Caenorhabditis elegans: one gene and its partner. The protein of the gene in region 2 interacts with the protein of the main gene of each other region in a biochemical or structural test. Each region holds a gene or a part of one and is shown on either strand. Other genes may lie near its edges.

The links.
Region 1: the proteins of mel-28 (region 2) and plk-1 interact in a test that uses a peptide from one of them, tested with the Caenorhabditis elegans proteins (one study listed by BioGRID).

What each region holds. Positions count from the first base shown.
Region 1 is NC_003281.10:8,098,263-8,106,181, reverse strand, and holds plk-1 (Serine/threonine-protein kinase plk-1), read right to left. Parts: upstream 4,835-7,919; coding exon 4,589-4,834; intron 4,542-4,588; coding exon 3,942-4,541; intron 3,699-3,941; coding exon 3,372-3,698; intron 3,326-3,371; coding exon 2,879-3,325; intron 2,830-2,878; coding exon 2,716-2,829; intron 2,668-2,715; coding exon 2,455-2,667; 3' UTR 2,113-2,454; downstream 1-2,112. Other genes in the region: K06H7.1 (uncharacterized protein), read right to left, coding at 5,544-5,688, 5,732-5,841, 5,884-6,024, 6,071-6,277, 6,323-6,454, 6,516-6,623, 6,673-6,705, 6,781-6,855. UniProt on the Caenorhabditis elegans protein: Required for oocyte nuclear envelope breakdown before entry of oocyte into spermatheca. In meiotic cells, required for spindle dynamics and probably for spindle attachment to the chromosomes. Zygotic role in the development of the germline and nerve cord.
Region 2 is NC_003281.10:4,783,322-4,793,962, reverse strand, and holds mel-28 (Protein mel-28), read right to left. Parts: upstream 7,884-10,641; 5' UTR 7,883-7,883; coding exon 7,792-7,882; intron 7,748-7,791; coding exon 7,610-7,747; intron 7,552-7,609; coding exon 7,303-7,551; intron 7,257-7,302; coding exon 7,149-7,256; intron 7,105-7,148; coding exon 6,188-7,104; intron 6,140-6,187; coding exon 6,020-6,139; intron 5,977-6,019; coding exon 5,492-5,976; intron 5,439-5,491; coding exon 4,924-5,438; intron 4,874-4,923; coding exon 4,530-4,873; intron 4,480-4,529; coding exon 3,391-4,479; intron 3,336-3,390; coding exon 3,243-3,335; intron 3,193-3,242; coding exon 3,100-3,192; intron 3,055-3,099; coding exon 2,962-3,054; intron 2,916-2,961; coding exon 2,613-2,915; intron 2,566-2,612; coding exon 2,254-2,565; intron 2,178-2,253; coding exon 1,950-2,177; intron 1,905-1,949; coding exon 1,767-1,904; intron 1,718-1,766; coding exon 1,679-1,717; 3' UTR 1,572-1,678; downstream 1-1,571. Other genes in the region: mip-1 (HTH OST-type domain-containing protein), read right to left, coding at 1-255, 309-513, 569-688, 739-857; enu-3.2 (ENhancer of Uncoordination), read left to right, coding at 8,784-8,843, 8,902-9,249, 9,364-9,501, 9,663-10,223, 10,272-10,418, 10,467-10,601. UniProt on the Caenorhabditis elegans protein: Nuclear envelope protein which has essential roles in assembly of nuclear pore complexes and in chromatin maintenance during the cell cycle. Appears to be a stable structural component of the nuclear envelope during interphase.

The DNA of each region.
Region 1 (7,919 bases), 3.3 Mb from region 2:
AATCACGCAGTATGGAAATTACAGTTTGTCTGTGAAATTGCTTTATTGAACTTGGATGAGGAACAAAACGAAACTTCGAATTACACATATTACTGTCATGACGTGACAAAACAATGATTACGGGTATACTTTTCTAATGACTCAGTGAAACGTTTTCTAATTATTTCTGTCTGTAGAACCTTACCCTCCTCTCTCTTTCTCTATGTCTTGTCATATCTGAAACGGGTAACATAGACGTTGTTGCGAAAAGCTGGGGGTGATGCATGGAAAATGATGAGGAGAGAAAAAGAGGAGACAATTCTAATGGCAAACCGTCTTCCGCGGCGACACGGATTCACCCTCCTTCGATCCATCAATTGCGTCGTCCGTCGGCGTTTTCTTGGACAACAGTTGTTATTCATTCAAAAAGGGGAAGAAGAAGAAGCGTCATTCAACATGAAATGCAACATTCTCTGAAATCTCTCAATTAGACCGGTTCCCCTCAGTTCCCTCATTCCGAAACCCCTCGAATTTGAAGATAAAGTTCAAACTGTAGATGTTAGTGGAAAATCGAGAGAATCAAACTATACACCTGATTGTAAAGGAATCGACAAGATCCTTCTCAATCCTATTTCTTGTTTTTTTTTTCAATGTTTGACTTTTTATTCAGGATTACATATGCAACCAGTAGAATGTTACGGCGGAATTTCGTCGATTTTCTCATTTAAAAATTTTTTTTTTTTTCTTTCTCATTTAAAAAATTTTATATATTACAAAACTAAAATAAAACAACTGAAAACGCATATTTAGATTTTTTTAAACAAAAATCGTGAGAGAAACCACGAAGAATCGAAGAAAATCCCACAGCAACTAAGGCTAGAAATTACAGTACTCTTTAAAGGCGCACTTCCGTTTGTATTTAACAAAAATGTCGTGTCAAGACCGGGTACTGTATTTTTGGCGCAAAAATCTTTAAACTTTGCGTTTGCTTAGTAAAAGTTGTCTTATATAAGTAATTAATTTATGAGGGGAACAACAAGAAACAACGACAAGGGGAAAGGGCTTAGGGAACAGGGATAAAAAGATAAGAACGTGGGAAAAACATCCAAGAAAGCCTTTTATAGGGGATGGGACCAACAAAACAAATAGACATTGGGTCCAACAAAACAAGGGCGAGAGGAAACGGGAAAATATTATATCAAAAAGAATATAACAAAGTAACGAGTTACTGTGGACGAGACGCATCTGTGGTTGATCAAACGGTGGTCGTAGGTCTACCTACGCATAGGTGAAGAGGCAGGTCTGACGATGATGCGCTATCGATGGTCTCTAGATCAGGGGTGAGCGGCAATCGGCGATCGCCGATCGCCGAAAGGGAAAAACGGGTCGGCGATCGGCGATTGCCGATGAAATTTTATAGTCCAAGATAGACCCCTCTGAAGAAGGAAGAAGGTATATTTTCGGACTATTTTTCACTACTTTTCGAATTTTAAGGTATCAAGGAGTGCTTTTCGTTGCCTAATATTCCTGTTTTTATAAAAAATTATTTGAAAGAGCTCTTAAAATTAGGATTTTAAAATTGAAAAAAATTAGACGCACACTGATCGGCAATCGGCAATTGGCGATCGCCGATTTTTTTTTGGCAATTTGTGATCGGCGATCGCCGAAAAAAAAATTTCATCGGCGATCGCCGATTTTTTTGGCCGGCTGCTCAGCTCTGCTCTAGATCTCTAGAAATCCAAAATTCAAGCAGAGAGCAAAAACAATTTAAACTATTGTATTTTTGATTTCATATAACAGTTTATGTCCAACTGTTACAGTAAAGCAGATCCCATTGGCATAATTTGAGACTATTTGGAATCGAACCTGTTTGGATATAAAATAAGTGACGGAAACTGTTCAGAGTGGCAAGTAATTAAACAGAACATTTGTTACTTTGCGACCGTGATCTTTGTAACAATCATGTTCAAATAATTGTCTCGGAATCAGTAAATATTATACACGCTTTTTCGAAAATTCTGAAATGGAAAGTTGAGGCAGATGAGCAGCTCAACTTGATTTTTCCCAATGTGCTGCTATCTACCAAAAATGAAATTGTCGAGAAAGTTTGGAAAAATGAAGAATACAGTTTAATAATCATCGGTACGTTTTATTTCGTGGGACTAATACCAAAAAAAGATGATTCAATTAGCAAAAAGAAATAAAAACGCAAAATAAAAATCGCCTCGCCCATGAATACAAACGAATGAAAAAGGGCTACAGCGGGTCTCATCAGTATTTACAATGAAATGAGCTACGGGAGATCGAGGACGGGGAATAAAGACATGTTGGATGCTGAAACATGGGACTAAAAGGGTCGATGAAAAACAGCAACAATAAATGAAGAGTACGGGTTAAATGTATAGAATAATACTTCTTGGAATTAATCAGGAGATGTAAGCAAATTCATGGAAGTGGCAAAGAGCACATACGGATCTATCGACGTGGGTGAATATTGGATCCACTTGCCGACTGGGGAAGGTGCGATGCAGCTTGATTTGGTCCTCGTGATCCTGCCGAAGCTGAACGAGCAGCTGCCATTGACCGTGGCATATCCGGTTGACGAGCTGGATTCTGGGATACAACGTTAGCATCGCTCATCAACCTTTCGATCATTGTCTTCGCATACTTCAGTCGGTGAAGGAATTTCTGTAAATTATACGTTATATTTGTTGATACTGAAATGGCGATTCAAACCTCTGGACATCCATTGCGCTGAAGATTGTTCAGCTTGTAGGTGAGCATACGCTTGTTTTGATCGATGAATGTAACTGCTTGCATTAATGGGCACATCATCATCTTGACATGATCCTGAAAATTATATTGTTGGGTGTTTCCATTAAATTATGAATTTGCTTACATTGAAGAAATTTATCTGAACAGTTCCATTGGAAAGGTGCAAAACAATTGCTGATTTGGTTCTGAACCAAACTCGAAGCGTTGGTAAACGAGCCAAGTCATCACCAGCTCTTTGTTCAGATCCTTCTCCAGCTTTCACCAAATGGTCATTCATGTAGGATCGAAAATACTTAAGCAATGTGACTTTCTTGTTGAGCAATCCAGGCATTTCACCTGAGTGCATCGAGAAGTAGTGCTCTTTGTTGCTCTTCTCAATATAGGTCAACTCGTTTCCAGCTTGATCAAGCATGATACGAGAATTGTCATTGAAGAGAACTCCGACGGAATTGTCACATAGTTGATATCCGATGCCATACTTGTCCGAATAGTCAACCCATTTCGAAATCCAGAAAACCGGGAGGCACTCTGGTGATTGATAACCATCAAGAGCAGCTTCTTCTTCTTCCAGCTGTAACAAACTTTTAATTTAAAAAAAACCTCTTGTTTATTCTTACCCCTGGAATACGCTGCTCTAAGAGCACAGCAACTTGGTGGAAAAGTTGTGAAAGGTATGCATCCTCGGGCTCCCGGAAAGTCGCCTCTGCAGCTTGTTGTTGAGCACGCTCACGATCGGCATTGTTCGACACGATGTGTTGTGGGAGGGCAGACAATCCAGCTCTTCCGTTCAATGGGCGTTGTGAACGAGCATCAACCCCTCTTGGAGCAACATTTTCCTCCATCATCGAAGTTTCGTGTCCTCCGAACTTTGGCACCATAGTGAGGCAGGAGACTGGAAGTCTAGTCGGCATGAATCCTGACTTGAAGAAGCCATCGCGTTGAACCTGTAGGGTTTTCATTCCGAGTTGAAGAGATTTCATAACTTATTTAAATATTCGAACTGATTTTTTAAAAATTGTTTTCGATCTCTTTACTAATTAGAACGAAGGGCAATCAAACTGAACGTGAACTATCTCTCAATAAAAGTTCACGATAAAATTCAAAAGTACAAATTTTCTAATGATGAAACTCGAATCTCCGATAATACTAAAATGATTTTCACTCCAGTTCAAAACTATTGAAATTACCTGCTTGGCAGTCGGACGACGTGTTGGCTCAGGATCAAGCATCTTGCGGATTAGGCTTGCTGCTGGTTGTGTTGCGATCGACGGAATGGTGTAGTTGTTGTGGCGAATGCGTGAGTATGTCTCTTCAAGCGATTTAGACTCGAATGGTGGTTGTCCGAAAAGAAGAATGTACAGAATGCATCCAACTGCCCAAATGTCAACTTCAAATGAGTGTCCAGCTTTGTTCAAAACCTCCGGAGCTATGTAGTTTGGCGTTCCACACAACGTTTTCTTTCTCTCATCACCGTTGACCGTTGTTGCTAATCCGAAATCTCCAATTTTGACAACTAGATCATCATTGAGGAAAAGATTTCCAAGCTTCATATCACGATGAATGATGTTCAGATCATGCAAATACAGCACGCCATCCACAATTTGATGAGTGAAATAACGAGCTTCAGGTTCGGTGACCGCCTTTCTTCTTTTGTGCAACTCCATCAGCGACCGTCTTGCACATAACTCCAAAGTGATATACACGTTGAGATTGTCCTCGAAGAAGTTGAATAACTTCACGATATTGATGTGTCCAAGCTCTCGATGAATCTGCACCTCTTGTGTCATCTGAAAAATCGTAATATGCACTGAACTAAGATTCGTTCATTGTCTACCTTATCTCTCTGGTATTGCTTGACGAGCATCGACTTCGGAACCACTTTTCCAGCGACAACCTCGCGTGTTGCTCGATTCGTAAGCTCATAACAGTGAGCGAATCCTCCCTTGCCCAAAAATCGTCCTTTCTCATAATAGGTCCCACGATCCTTGTCGGCGATGAGAGCGGGAACCTCTGGTGGAGCCTTCTCCTTTCTTTGGTTGGACTTTTGTGGGGGTTTTGCAATGTTGGGAAGTCGATTCATCTGAAATGCAACACAAAAATTAAAATATTCAGTATTAATAATTGAATAAACGTTTTTATTTCTAAAAATGACAAGAGGCGAGCTGGAAACTTGAAAAAGAATCGGTAAAAGTCATTTTAGGACGAAAATGGCGGACGGCAAATTCGAATGTTGATGCTTGGCGGGCGCAGGTCTCGCAGCGAACCGTGTGTCGATTTACGCGCCGATGAAAAAGGGTGCTAAACAAAACAGCGCGCTGTCATCGATCAAACATTTTCTGGTCAAACATAAATATCACGGAGACATTGATTTAAAAAACGGTTTTAAAAATTGAAAAATTTATTATTCAATGTACTTTCTGCAATAATTTTGTACATTAATGTTTTAAAAATTAGCAACGAACCTTTTTGGGCTTGTAACAGAACATTTGCACGTGTGTTAAACGATGCCAGATGTTAATAAAAGAAAAATTAATTTTAAATGGATTAATACGTATATTTTATGGCGTACGTAATACATTTTTACCACGTGTCTTCCACGTCTTACCGTCATTTGGAGAGAAGGCAGCTTCTCTTTTTGGATTAGTGGTAAGTTTTCGTGGTTTACACGCCTTTCTTTGACGATTAAAATGGATGGAAAGAGATACTATAACAATTTTATTTAATACATGAGATAGGATATTTAGCTTCAAAAACACTATATTTCCAAGACGGCATCTCAAAACATAAAATTATGAAAACGCAACAATGTTATACGGTTTGAAATTGTCAGTTGAATCTTTCAAAACCAGCAAGGACGTTTTCTTGTTATTCTCATCTGGAACACTGTATACATCAACTGGCTCGAAGCACTCAGTTTTGACATCAAAGCGCTCTCTGAAATTAATTCTAGTTTGCCTAACATCAGTTTTCTGCTCACTTTCTATCATAATTCGTACACTTCAAATCTCCTGTGACTTTTTCAACATTCACGTGTTTAGTGAAAAACCATTCTAGGACAACAAATTGATCATTTAAGCTGAGACGTTTCTGAAAAATAACAATTCTTCATTCCATGATGATTTTCAATACCTTTATCGCATGAGCAACTATATTTTCATCAATTCTGTCCGAATAAAAAGAAAAATTTGGAATTGCAATACACAATGCTAGAAATTGGTCGGTTGAGAAAGAACAGTGCTCCATAATACTCAGTGTTTTGCAATTTTGGAACTGAAAATGTATTGTACCAAAAATATTCAAAAATAAACATACTTACATGTGGAAGATCAAATATCTTGGACGGAATATCAAGTGGATATTCTCCATGAGGAGCAATACACAGCTCATTTAGAGAGTTCGGATCAACTCTTTCAATCCACCACTCCAACATTTCCAGAGATTCCATTTTTAGAAAAAGCCTTCTAACGATGATTTTTGGAATGTTCAAAAGCTCATTCGAACTACAAATACATTTGCTTGCTTTCTGAAATATCAAAATACGCGGAATTCAGATTAATTTTTTAACTACCAAGTCTATAAAAAGCTCGTCAAGCCTATAATTACAAGCTTCCAATCTTTCCAAAAGAACTCCTGAAATTTCAATCTCCGGAACTTGGAGATCTTTCATTTTTCCTAGTCGACTTGTATATACAATTGTAATCTAAAAATTTATGATTTAATTAAAATATTATGAGGAATGTGATTATTTTCAATTTAAAAACCTGTTCATCACCAGAGCTTATAATTTTCAGTGAATATCCTGAATCTTGCATTAAATTCTGGTCATTGGTCTCTTGATATTTCCCACGACAGTTGTATTTATTCATTTTCTAAATGAAAAAATTTCTAGTTTATTGCAAAGATCGAGTCAAACTATACCTGTTTAATTCCACACATCCGTGATAGAAATCCCTTAAAAAAGTAAATTTTCTTGAATAGCAAATCTACCATTAAAAAAAGTTAAATTAATTAAAGTTTTTAACTAACCCGATTTTCAGTAGATTTTTCCCGAGACTTCCAGCTGTAAGAAGGTTCAAACCGACGAAAATTGGGTTGCAACATTTTCTGAAATGTGCCAAAAAGAGATGAATCTGAATGTTTGTTCACCAGTGGGTCGGCGATTAAGAAAAAAGGCGAAGGGTTTAGGATATTGGATTTTGATTAATTTGAATAGAAAAAACGATGAAACAATGGAAGAACTATCCAAATAAACATGTCTGTGAAGGGTGTTACGTCAACTATTGAAAGTTGTTGTAAATATTTACATCTAGGTAATCTGAAAGATTGGGTTAAAAACTAAAATTATGTGGTATTTTGAAAAATGAATCTCTATCAAATTATATATTAGCTGTGAGTCAAAAATGAATATTTATATTCAAATTGAAAACGTAAAGCCTCGGCGCCGCGGCGAGTCACGAGATATCGAAAATTGAAGTGGGACAACCTACTAATTATGCAGCAGGAAAAAGGAACTCTAACAGAAAAGAGAAAGAAGGAAATGAAATTTAGAAAATAATGAAACAGAGAAGAGAAAGTCCAGACAGATGAAGGTATAAATGGCTCAATGAGTAGCTTGAAGAGACCGCCCGACAACAAGTGAAGCCAATTGAAAGAGTTTGAGAGGCGGAAGAGAGATGAAAAAATGCACGTTTATAAGGAATATGGGAACATTTTTAATAGAGGAAAAGTCTAGAGTTCGTGAGTTCAAAAAATGAACCATTTTTTAAATTTCAAAGAATGACGCTTTAAAACATTTAAGGTAGGCACGAAGGCAGGCAAGTTAACTTTTTGCTTTCTGACAACCAAAATTACTGGAAGTTTATACTACTGGCACCTCACAGTTTCATAGTGCTAAAATTTCCGAATGGCATAGTAAACTATTAAAAAAATTATTGAAATGTTTTTATTTTCAGCCATAAAGTGGTGAAAACTCATTGTTCTCCTGTCATAACATTTGGAAGTCGGGCAAAAAAAAAAAATATTTTAATTGCGTTCCAATTTTTTGTATTTCAACATTTTAAAGGCTCGAACATTTTTGAAAATTTTGGCAATTTACCAAAACTTTAACAATAAAAAGTCCTTGTGACCGACGTGTTGAACTTTTCATTCCAAAATTTATACTTTCA
Region 2 (10,641 bases):
ACACTTCGAGTCAATCCCGGGTTGCAAAACTGGAACAGCCACTGTAGACGACAGTCTTTGAACAACGGTTACAGGTTGACGTAAAAGAGGACGCTGAGCAGTCGCACTAGGAGCAATTTTGACCGGACCAACAGTGGTGCTTCTCGTTGTATGATGTGAATAAGCTGATCTATTTGCGAAACTAGAGTGACCAGTTGCAGTGGAAGGGCGGACAGGTGGGTGTCGAACGGTATTGCGATACCCAGTTGCTTGTGGCTGCAATATTATTATGTTAATCTTGAACATAGTTTTTTTTTTTCAATTTGAACCTTTGCCGGGTTCGCTCTGGCAGATGAAGCTGGATACATAAATGAGGGTTTCGGTGAGCGCAAGTGAGCTGCATATCCGAATCCACTTTTATTATGGAATCCCATAGACGTAGCTGCACGAATGGGCTTTGCACCTTTTCCACCTTTCTTTTTTTTCTTCTGCTTTGAGATCAGATTGATTAGGTCTTGATTGTCCTCATTTGCGCTGAAAACGAATGTATTGAGTTTTGACTCGAATAAGAGCAATATATATTTCTCACACAACACTGAAAACTCCGGATAAATTTTGTCGTACATCTTTGTGCTCTCGCAGAAGTTGAGCCATATCTCTCACACCAGCCTGTACATATTTTCCAACATATGTGTAGCCAAGCGTGTCGCTAAATAGTTAATACATTAAATTTGAGAAATAATGCCGCGAAACACAAACTCCATTCTCCTTTCTACTTGATTTGGGGTCGCTCCTTCCTGGAATGATAGCAGAACACTGTACACGTCGCGCTCGATGCGCGCGCGTATTTTCTTCTTGGGATCGTCAGCTTCCGTCATTTGCCAAGTGAATGTCACTTCTGAGAGAACATTTTACAATTTGATCAAGTATTAACGTGAAAAAGATACAAAAATGTTACAGTAAATTGTAAAAAAGACTCAGACCCAGTCTGATGCACGGATAACTAATTTTACAGATGTTTACAATACGTCAAGATCGTCCTTACATGCTAACGTCTATGAACAACGTTAAAATTATTATTTTAACATGAAAATATCATCAAAACATAAAAAAAACAAGCTGTTAACAGAGAACAACTGCGAAGAATCATTTTATTTAGAATGGGTAGCCGAATTTTAGGACAAGCCTTTTGGCGCCACATATTGCGTAGAAATGCACACGCAAATGACTGTTACAGTAACCTTTCGAAAGATTTAAATTAGTTTTTATAAAATTGGATTTTTGCAGTGAAGAATATATTTAACAATGCCGTCTTTTTTCTACACGAAAAAACGTTTTATTGGTGCATTAAAAAACAAAATTAAATAATAATTCATCATTACCACGAGAAATTAGAAAAAATTCTGCAGAGCTTCGTTTTGGAAATTTTTTAAATGTGGTATAAACACCTGTTTCGCATGCTAGGAACAATCGTTCACATTTTCCAGTTAAAATTAAATTATCGAATTTGTTGCTTGAAATTTAAAAACTATAACGCCATCCTGAACTCTCCGTTCTATGCACCTTTATTGCTTTATTTCCAATTCAATGTTAATGCCAAACAATTTTATTGGAACTTATTTCACATGTGTCAGTTGAAGAATTTCAAATAATAAAATAAATAAGGACAAATAGTTAAAATTTGAGCTGTGTTCGACCTCTATTGTTTAGCACGGCGAGCTGAACGCAGTAGAGGAGTCTGAAAATAAAACACCTCGTTTGAGAAATCGTATTGCTGAAAATATTACCGCAGCCGTTTCTTTTCTCTCTTCTTCACCCTCTTCAATATTTTCCAGAACGGTTTTGGGCGGTCTTCCTCTTCCGCGTTTTGGAGTGGTTGGCTCTTCCACCTCTTGTTGTACATCAATAGATGATGCTCGAGATCTCTGAAAATAATAATTTTGAAAAAAAATTATGTTTTGGGATCATACCGTCACACTTCTAGACTGTTTACTGGTACCAGCTTCATTAACCGCGGCATTTTTCTTTTTTGGGGTCTTCTGCTTGCTATCATCATCGATCGATTCGGAATTTGCTCTGGATCTAGCCGTTCGTTTGGAAGACCGTGTAGGTGTGGCTGGTTGTTCGATATCTGGAGAGGATGAACGATCTTCTTCATCTTCTTGATTTTCGAATATCGATTTAGGCTTGGTGCCACGCTGAAACGAAAACAAATCAATTTACAATTTATGAATACAACATTTTTAATTCAAAAAAATAATTAAAAATGCTTACAGCTTTACTTCCAACTTTAGGAGATCCTGCATCCTTTTTGGCGGGTCTTCCTCTTTTTGGCGTCGTCGGTGCCGATTTGTCGTCCTGATTAAAGTCGATCGTTTCCGAATTGCCCCTCTTTCTAGAAGTTGTACGTTTGGTAGAAGCAAGTGCAGATGACGATGGGTCAACAGTTGTATTTTTGACAGATGCAGAGCGAGTGCTTCTTGATGCAGGCCGTTCCTCCTCCGCTTCTTCTTCTTCTTCTTCTTGAACTTCCATTGTAACCTCTAGCGGGGATGGCATCTTTTGGATGATCGATTTTTTACCGCGCTGAAAATGTTCGAATAGTTGTATGATTAAACGATTAAACAACGTACAGTTACACTTCCAGCTCTACTAGAAGATGTACTAGCTGCAGCCTTTTTCGTGGGAGTTCTTCCGGTTTTTGGTGTCGATCTTCCATCATCTTCAGACGACTGCTTGCTAACAACCTCAGAAGTTGCCCGAGTCCGACGCCGAGTTGTCATCGCAACCGACGTCTCATCTGGTTCGGCAACAGTATCATTCCTAAGCGATGTGGAGCGAGTTCTTCGTGACGCTGAACGACTTGGAATTTCAGACTCCAAAACAGATTTATTTGCTGCCACTGTCTTCTGGGCTGATGCGGATCGAGTATTTCTCTGGAAATATTGAACTAAATTTTTAAAGAAATCACGAGAGACTTACTGATGGAGGTCTATCTTCCTCGATGAGTTCCTCTGGCTTCTGGTCTTTTACCTTTGATGAAGATTTTTGAACAGATGCCGACCGCGTATTTCTCTAGAAAAATACACATATAAATTTCAAATTTTAAAAACAACTCACGGATGGTGGTCTATCTTCTTCCGTGACTTCTCCTGATTCCGAAGTTTTCTCTTGGTTAGATGATTTTTGAACAGACGCAGAACGAGTGTTTCTCTGAAAACATAAATTTTATTTCTGTCTGTCAAATTGATGACGAAACTGACAGATGGAGGTCTTTCTTCCTCGACAAGTTCTTTCGGATCCCGGTCTTCCACTTGTGAAGTAGACTTCTGGACAGATGATGAGCGAGTGTTTCTCTGAAATATACAATTATTGCCGTTTTTCCTCAAATTTTATTTTATGGTATCTTACAGATGGTGGTCTATCTTCCTCAACAGCTTGTTCTTGAACTTTATCCGCGGTATCTTCATCACCTGTCGGAACTATGTCAGGCTCTTCCTGTAACTCTTCCTGCAGTTTAATAGACGATTCGAGAGATTCGTTTTGAGGCTCTTCCGGAATCACTGGCTGCATAACTTCAGGTTCTGGCTCTTCCTGTCGTTTTTCAGTTTTTTCAGGTTCTTTCGCATCTTGCTGAACTTCTTCAGATTCAACTACCTCTTCTTCATTCACTTCTTCAGATTTACTCTCCAAATCATCGGCTACATCAATCGTTGGTACAGCTTCACAATCCTCATCCATTTGAACCTCGAAAGATCTTTGAACTCCATCCCATATATCTTCATCTTCACCTTCCTCCTCAAGAATACCCGTTTTATCGGTTTGTAAATGACTCAAATATGTCTCATCGGTTGGTGGCATGACGTCATCATCTCGTACTTCAAACGTATCTTCCATGGGAGGAGTTTCCGAACCATTTTCTGTATTTGCAGCTTCTGGAGCAGATGTATCTTCGAGAACCTCGAAATCGTCTTGGTTTTCGAAAGTTTTCTCACTTTCAATGCATTCATCGTTTTCTTGTTCTTGATCTTTTACTTCTTCCATCTCATCCACTACATTTTTCTCTGAATCCTTCTCCTCGTCATGTTTTCCCATAGACCGTGATTTTCTAATAGTCATGGTTTCCTCTTCTTCATCTTCAAGAATTGCAAAGTTCAATGCAAGGCCTTTCCGACCATTGTCTTCAATACTCTCGTCAGCACCTCTTGGAACGTCAGCACGGAATCGGATACGGCCTCGACTAGCCGATTGGCCACCTTTAGCTGTTTTCAGAATACTGTTGTGAGCAGAGACTGGCGGCGGTCTGTTTCCAGCGGGCGATAGAAATCCATCTTGAACATTTTCCTCCTCATTATGTCGCTTGTAATACCGTGCCGGTGTTGCAATCATCATATTGATTTCTGCATTTTGGTGAGAATCCGGACTTGTGATACTGTTGATACTCGAATTGTTGGCAACAGATTCGACGGCACTCTTCCACTGTTGAATTCTCTTCGCGGTCTGTAAATTTCAGAATCTTGGTTTGTACTATTTAACTGCAATAATCTTACAGGTGGCACATATTGTGATGACGAAACACTACTCTCATCGTCTTCACCAAACTGACTTGATTTCCGCTTTCTTTCTGTTTTGTCATTGACAGAAGCGAAAACTTCAGGCATATCTTCGTCGTCGTTTTGCACCTTTCTCTCAAACATTTTCTTAACTGAAATTTCGATTTCCTGTTCTTTCGCAGTCTTCTGACGACCTCTTCCATCCTTCTTGATCATTCCTGGCAGGAAAGCCGATAGCAATTTGTTGGAACTAATCGCTTCTGATGACATTGCTTCAAACTTTTCGTTTTCAAAGAGAAACATTTGGTAGAGAATCTCAGATTCCGGATCGAGAACTGGCACTGGAAATTAAAAAAAATTAATTGGAAATGAGACTGAAAATCTATCTCACATCTAACTTTTCCACCTTCCATTTGCATTTTCATTCGTTGTTCAAATCGCTGTAAATCGTGTTTTCCGATTGTCACTGTCATCGGAGCATCTTTTCCCCACAATTTCTCATAACTAATCTCGTCATCTTTCATTGAGAATACTTTCTCTCCAAGTGCTCTCATATCATCCGATGTCTTGCTGCTTGTTAAAGCCTTCTTTCCTTGGTCCAGAATGTAATAAATTTTCTCCAAGTTAACGTTAAGCATTTGATTTGTCATGATTTTGATAGTTTCAAGTGCCAATTGTTTTTCGCTGTGTTCAGAATCTTCAGGAGATGTGGAAATCCAATCAATGACATATTGGACAACGAGTTCTCGTTTAATACTCTCAGAAATCGAAACATTCAGCAGGCATTCCAGCAAATCGAGAGGTGTTGGCGGATACCATTCGTCATGTGGAATATCGTTCCAGAATTGAGCATTTGGAGCTTGACGATTCATTTTTCGAACGACTGATTGAACGGGTAGAGATGATCTGAATAATTTAATCGTATAACTTTTTCTTAAAAAGGATTTTTCTAAACTCACGAGTTCTTTCTCGCCATATTTTTTCTCTTTGAATGTAAATCCTTCATTCTTTGCTGTCTGATCGGGTCTACAGGAATGATGGCAAAATTGATGAATTGGCTGGTAAGTTTCGTATGGTTTCTCATACATATCACAGAATGGGCCAAATTGCGAAGTCGATCATCTTTTAACGCTTTTGAACAGGCTTTCAGATATTCGTAAACAACTCGGAAAAGCTTGATTCCCTGTGCAATAGATTCTTCTGCTAGTGGAGAGAGAGCAAGTGATCTTCCCTGGAAGAGTGAAACCATCTTGTCAGAAATAGTTCTCTTGTAGTCAACAGCTTCGTGAAGTGCCCATTCTGCTAATTCCCGTTTTAGCGTGTCACTAATGTCAGGACGAGATGCCAATTGACAAAACTCTTCAATTTTTCCGTAGTAGACGATAACGTTGAGAAGAACCTTTTGATCAGACGATAATTGAAGTTCGTTTATTTCTGCGGCGCTCTGAAAACAATTTCATCAATTTAACTTTAAAAAATAAGCTCACCGAATTGGGAGATCCAGACAGAATATTTTTTCTCACTAAACCAGCTGCCATAACAACGCTGGAAATCATTTCGGGATTCCTGATGAGAGCAGGCAGTTTGACGGCGCATTTGTTCAAAATCTGAAAAAAAAACCGGAATAAAAACAATCTCAATGCCGATAAATTTACCGTGTCCTGGATGTTCTGGATCTTCATCCAGTCAATTCTGGTATTCTTGGCAACAAAAACCCTTTCGAAGCTTAATGCTGACGGATAAAACAGTTGATCTGCGTCTGAAACCATGCTAGAGAAGCTGGATACATCAGTGGCCTCATTTGTAAGAATTCCGATGTCATTTACATCTTCTGATCGGATGTTAGACTTTATAGTTGATAAGAATGCACATTGCTTGAGAACAGTTCCATCTGTAGATACTCGACCGGGAACTCTTTTGTAGTACCATGAATCTATATCAAAAATAGCTGCTTCCACAATGTATTCTGGTTCAGCATTCGGGTCTTCTGTGCCGATCACCATCTTCTTTCGTTCGTATGCCAAAAGAACAGAGTTTCGATTAGAAGTTGATCCGAATGTCTGAGAAACATTGTGCATCGAATCTTCCGTTCCTCGCTTTCTTGTGAGCATCATATGATCTCTTTCAGTAACAATAGGATTCACAGCCAACCATCTTTCTCCGAACAAAATCTTATGTTCTAGACAAACACTGAATGATGGACGGTCGTACTTTTCTTCTCCATCAACATCCTCGAGAGTTTTGAAAGATCCACGCCAAAGTTGAATCATGATTGGATGACGAGGTGAACAATCAACAGTGGCGATGAAATACTCAAATTTGTCGGGATCATCTTCTGGTTCTAATGGAGCAATTTTTCTGACAAGTCGTTCGTGTCTCAATTCCAAAAGCATCATCTGATTTGAAGGATTCAATGAAGCTGCCAGAATGCCTCCCATCGATAAACCGACAAGAAGAGTTCGACTTCTTGGCATCAACGATAACGCTGAGATATACACGGCGGCGGTTGGGTATTCACGATATGCTCCATCGTCCAAAGTGTACTGAAGAACTGAACCGCTGACGTAAGCATCTGAAACACACTAATCAAATTTGTTTAATCTTCGGGAAACTTACTCATTAGGTTGATCAAATACTTTTTCTCACTGTGAACTGTGATGACAGGACTTGACGGCGTCTCAACAGCAACTAAACGAGCTAAGTAGCATTGTGTCTCCTTGCAACCTGGAATGTAAATTTGCAAAGTTTTCATTCAAATTTGATTTATTACCAATTGCCACAATATGCTGCCACGTCATCAGTCGATGATAGAGCTTTAAAACTGTTCTCTGTGTTTCATCAGCCATGTCGGCAGACGAAAAAAGCGTCTTCACAACTGTAATTTTCGATGGAACTTCCAGTGAGTGTGTGATTGTCATGGCTGGTGAATCCGGATCAACTGCCAATGCAAGAACAAAGTGCTCGGCACCGCACGACTGACGAGGATCTTCAACACCAACAAGAATTCCGAGCTTTCCTTCTGTAAATAAAATATTTTGAAATCAATAAAGAAAATATGATAGTAATAAAAAACTTACCTTCTGTTGGAAAATAGTCCGCATCGATCAAAGCACATCCTTCAGGGAAAACGAACGAGTGAGTTACGCGTTCCCATTCGATATCGAATATTTGACACGTATTCTTTTTAAAATTCACAATGTAGGGAAGTTGACGACCTGAATGAATAGAATAATGTTGAATCGATAGAAATATGAAATACCAATTGAATCCTTCAAAATAATTTGCTTTTCTCCCCTCCAACACTCGTATCCTTGATATGATTTGAAAATGGACGAATTTTCATTATCCATTCTGAAAAAAAATAAACCTTTGCACATCGCAGCTAATAAATAACATTTAAAGAAGTGAGACAAAGAAATTATCAATTAAAATAAGTGGTTTTAGAAGTGCGTAGCTTAAAATAAGGGCTCGTCCGACTACATTCAAACGACCGGGAAAATTTGTTTTCACCAATACGCAAACACCGCAACGGAAACATACGGACTGCGAAAACAAGCGAAAATGGAAAATGCTTGCAAAGGTTAGAAGACGCAACGAAGAATGTAGAAATTGAATGGAATTCTTAAATGAAAAAAATCAATTTGAATGATTTAAATTGGAATATAATCCATATTACATCATTATCTTAAGAGAAGCACATACTTAAAATGACGTAAACCAACTTTTTAGCATTTTCAAATGACTTCTAAAAAATTAATGGAAACCCTTAAGAAACATACATTTTTTGGAGCAACGAGCGTAAAGACTGTTTTACTCAAGAAATGATAAAATGATAGGCGCATCGCGAAACCTTGTATTTTTTGAAGAAAAACCTTGTTTATTGAGTGAATAAAATTTGACTAATTGTAAAGGAACTTTTTACGAGAAATTCTTCGAAAACAAAATTAACCATCCGCGAAAAAAAAACAAACAAAAAGGAACCCAAAACAGGATGCAGGGGCGGGACCTATTCGCAGCCACCGCACACTTTTTTCGCAAGCCTCGCACGTTTTTTCTTTTGAAAAATGCAACAATATCATGGAAAAACGTGCGAGGCTTGCGAAAAAAGTGTGCGGTGGTTGCGAAATAGGCCCCGCCCCTACTCACGCGTGGCCACGTGGCACACGGCACACGTAGCGATTGAAATAAACAAATTATAACTTAAATTAGTTTGTGAAATCGGTTTCTCTCCGACACACGCGTCACTCAAAAATGCGTATTTTGCGTATTTTGTTTTCATTGGTAATCTTCGGATTAATAGTTCATGTATTGGTGAGTTGCCTAGACATCCTTCGATTTTTCTAGACCATAATGTTTCACCATTTTTCAGCCAACAACCACCACACCAAATGTGCCTGTTTCCGCCGCTACGAACACTTCAAACGTGACCGCTCCTGCCGGCAATTCGGCAAAAAGTCCTAATGCGACCGCTCCTGCCGGCAATCCGACGAAAAATGTAAACGTGACCGCTCCTGCCGCCAATACGACGCAGCTTGCTCTTGTGAGCTCGGCGAGCCCTCAAACCTGCAAAAATGGAAACGGCACACACTGCCCGTCATGTGCATACACGATCAATGTTCACAAGGACACGCCGAAGTACATCGGATATGGCATCCTGATCGCCTTCGTCATTTTCCACATTTTTTTGTATTTCTACCTCGAGGATCAGAAGGCGAGGGTAAGTGAAATTTTGCCAGTGGCCTAGCTTTTTATTGATTTAAGTTATATTTAATGAAAAGCGAATTGCGTACTACACGTGGACAACTTTCAACATACGAAACCTTCTTTTCAGGAGCAGAAGAAATATTTTGAGGAGCTCATCGCTGAGCAGATGGCGGCTAGGAAGCGAGAAGAACAAGACGATCAGCAGCACGAGGATGAGGAGAAGGAACGCCGAGAGCGGTTGGCTTATGGAATTGCCGCGAATCCGGTACGTTTTATTATCGATTTTTTTGCAACGTGGCCTAGAAAAAGCGAGAGCTCGGCCAAGATCTTTGAAGGTGGCCGAGTTTTCGCATTTCGCGGCCACGACGTAAAAACGGAATTATTAGCATTGAAAGAGAATTGAAAAAACGCAGTTTTAAATTTCAGTATGTGGTAGCAGAGAGCAAGACTCCCAATGGAAACGTCACAAAAGTGATGGAGAAACGACGATCCGCGGTGGCCCCGCCCATCACACCAGCCCTCGGAGCAGGCTCGACCAACGGACCATACGAGAGTCGGACCAAGACCGCTCAAAAGGAAGAAGCAATGAGCTGTCACTTGCAAGTGATCGCCGACAATTGGGGACGTGGAAAGGAGCTCATTTCGCTCATCAATGATTTGGATCTCCCTGCGCCGCTGGTGACGACAGAGGAAAAGGCGCGGTACGCTTTGGAGCTCGTGCAACATCATGTGGAGAAAATGACCGAGCAGAAGGTTTTCCTGCACGGATATCTTGATGATGGACCGCCGTTCGTTTGCTCATCGGAGACCTTGGCGAAGGAGATCTTCAGCGATGCCCGTCTTGAGCTGAAGCTTGAATTGACGTCGCCGGTGCACATGAAGATGGACGTGTTCTCTGTGAAATTGGAGCCACAACAGAAGACAGTGCTGCCAGAACCCACCAAGGAAACGCCGAAAACCGACGCTCTCCTCACACCGGGATCTCATGTAAGTCTAAAGGCACACGCTGGGTCTCACAACGATTTTTGTTTTCAGATTAAGGGAAGATCAATGGCGGCTGAATCGTCGAAGCGCAAAGCCCCGAAGGTGTCCACTGATTTGACGAACTTGGTCCCACTGCTCCAACAAGCTCAGATGCTTCCAGTCACCGAAAAGGCAACCAAGGAGAAGCTCCAGACTCCGGTTAGCTTAAATCTCATGATCTTTTTATCTAAAATTTCAAATTTTCAGAAGCAATCGCCAATGCCAGGCACCCCGGAAAATACGTCGCTCCCACCGTCCTTGATTAAGAAGAAGAAGAAGGAGTGGACATCGGAACAAGCAGCGCCGGAAGCGGTCGTCACTGTGGACAAGCCACGCGATTGAAGTTCTTCTGAGCCCCCGACCGCCTCTCAACTCCTCTCAA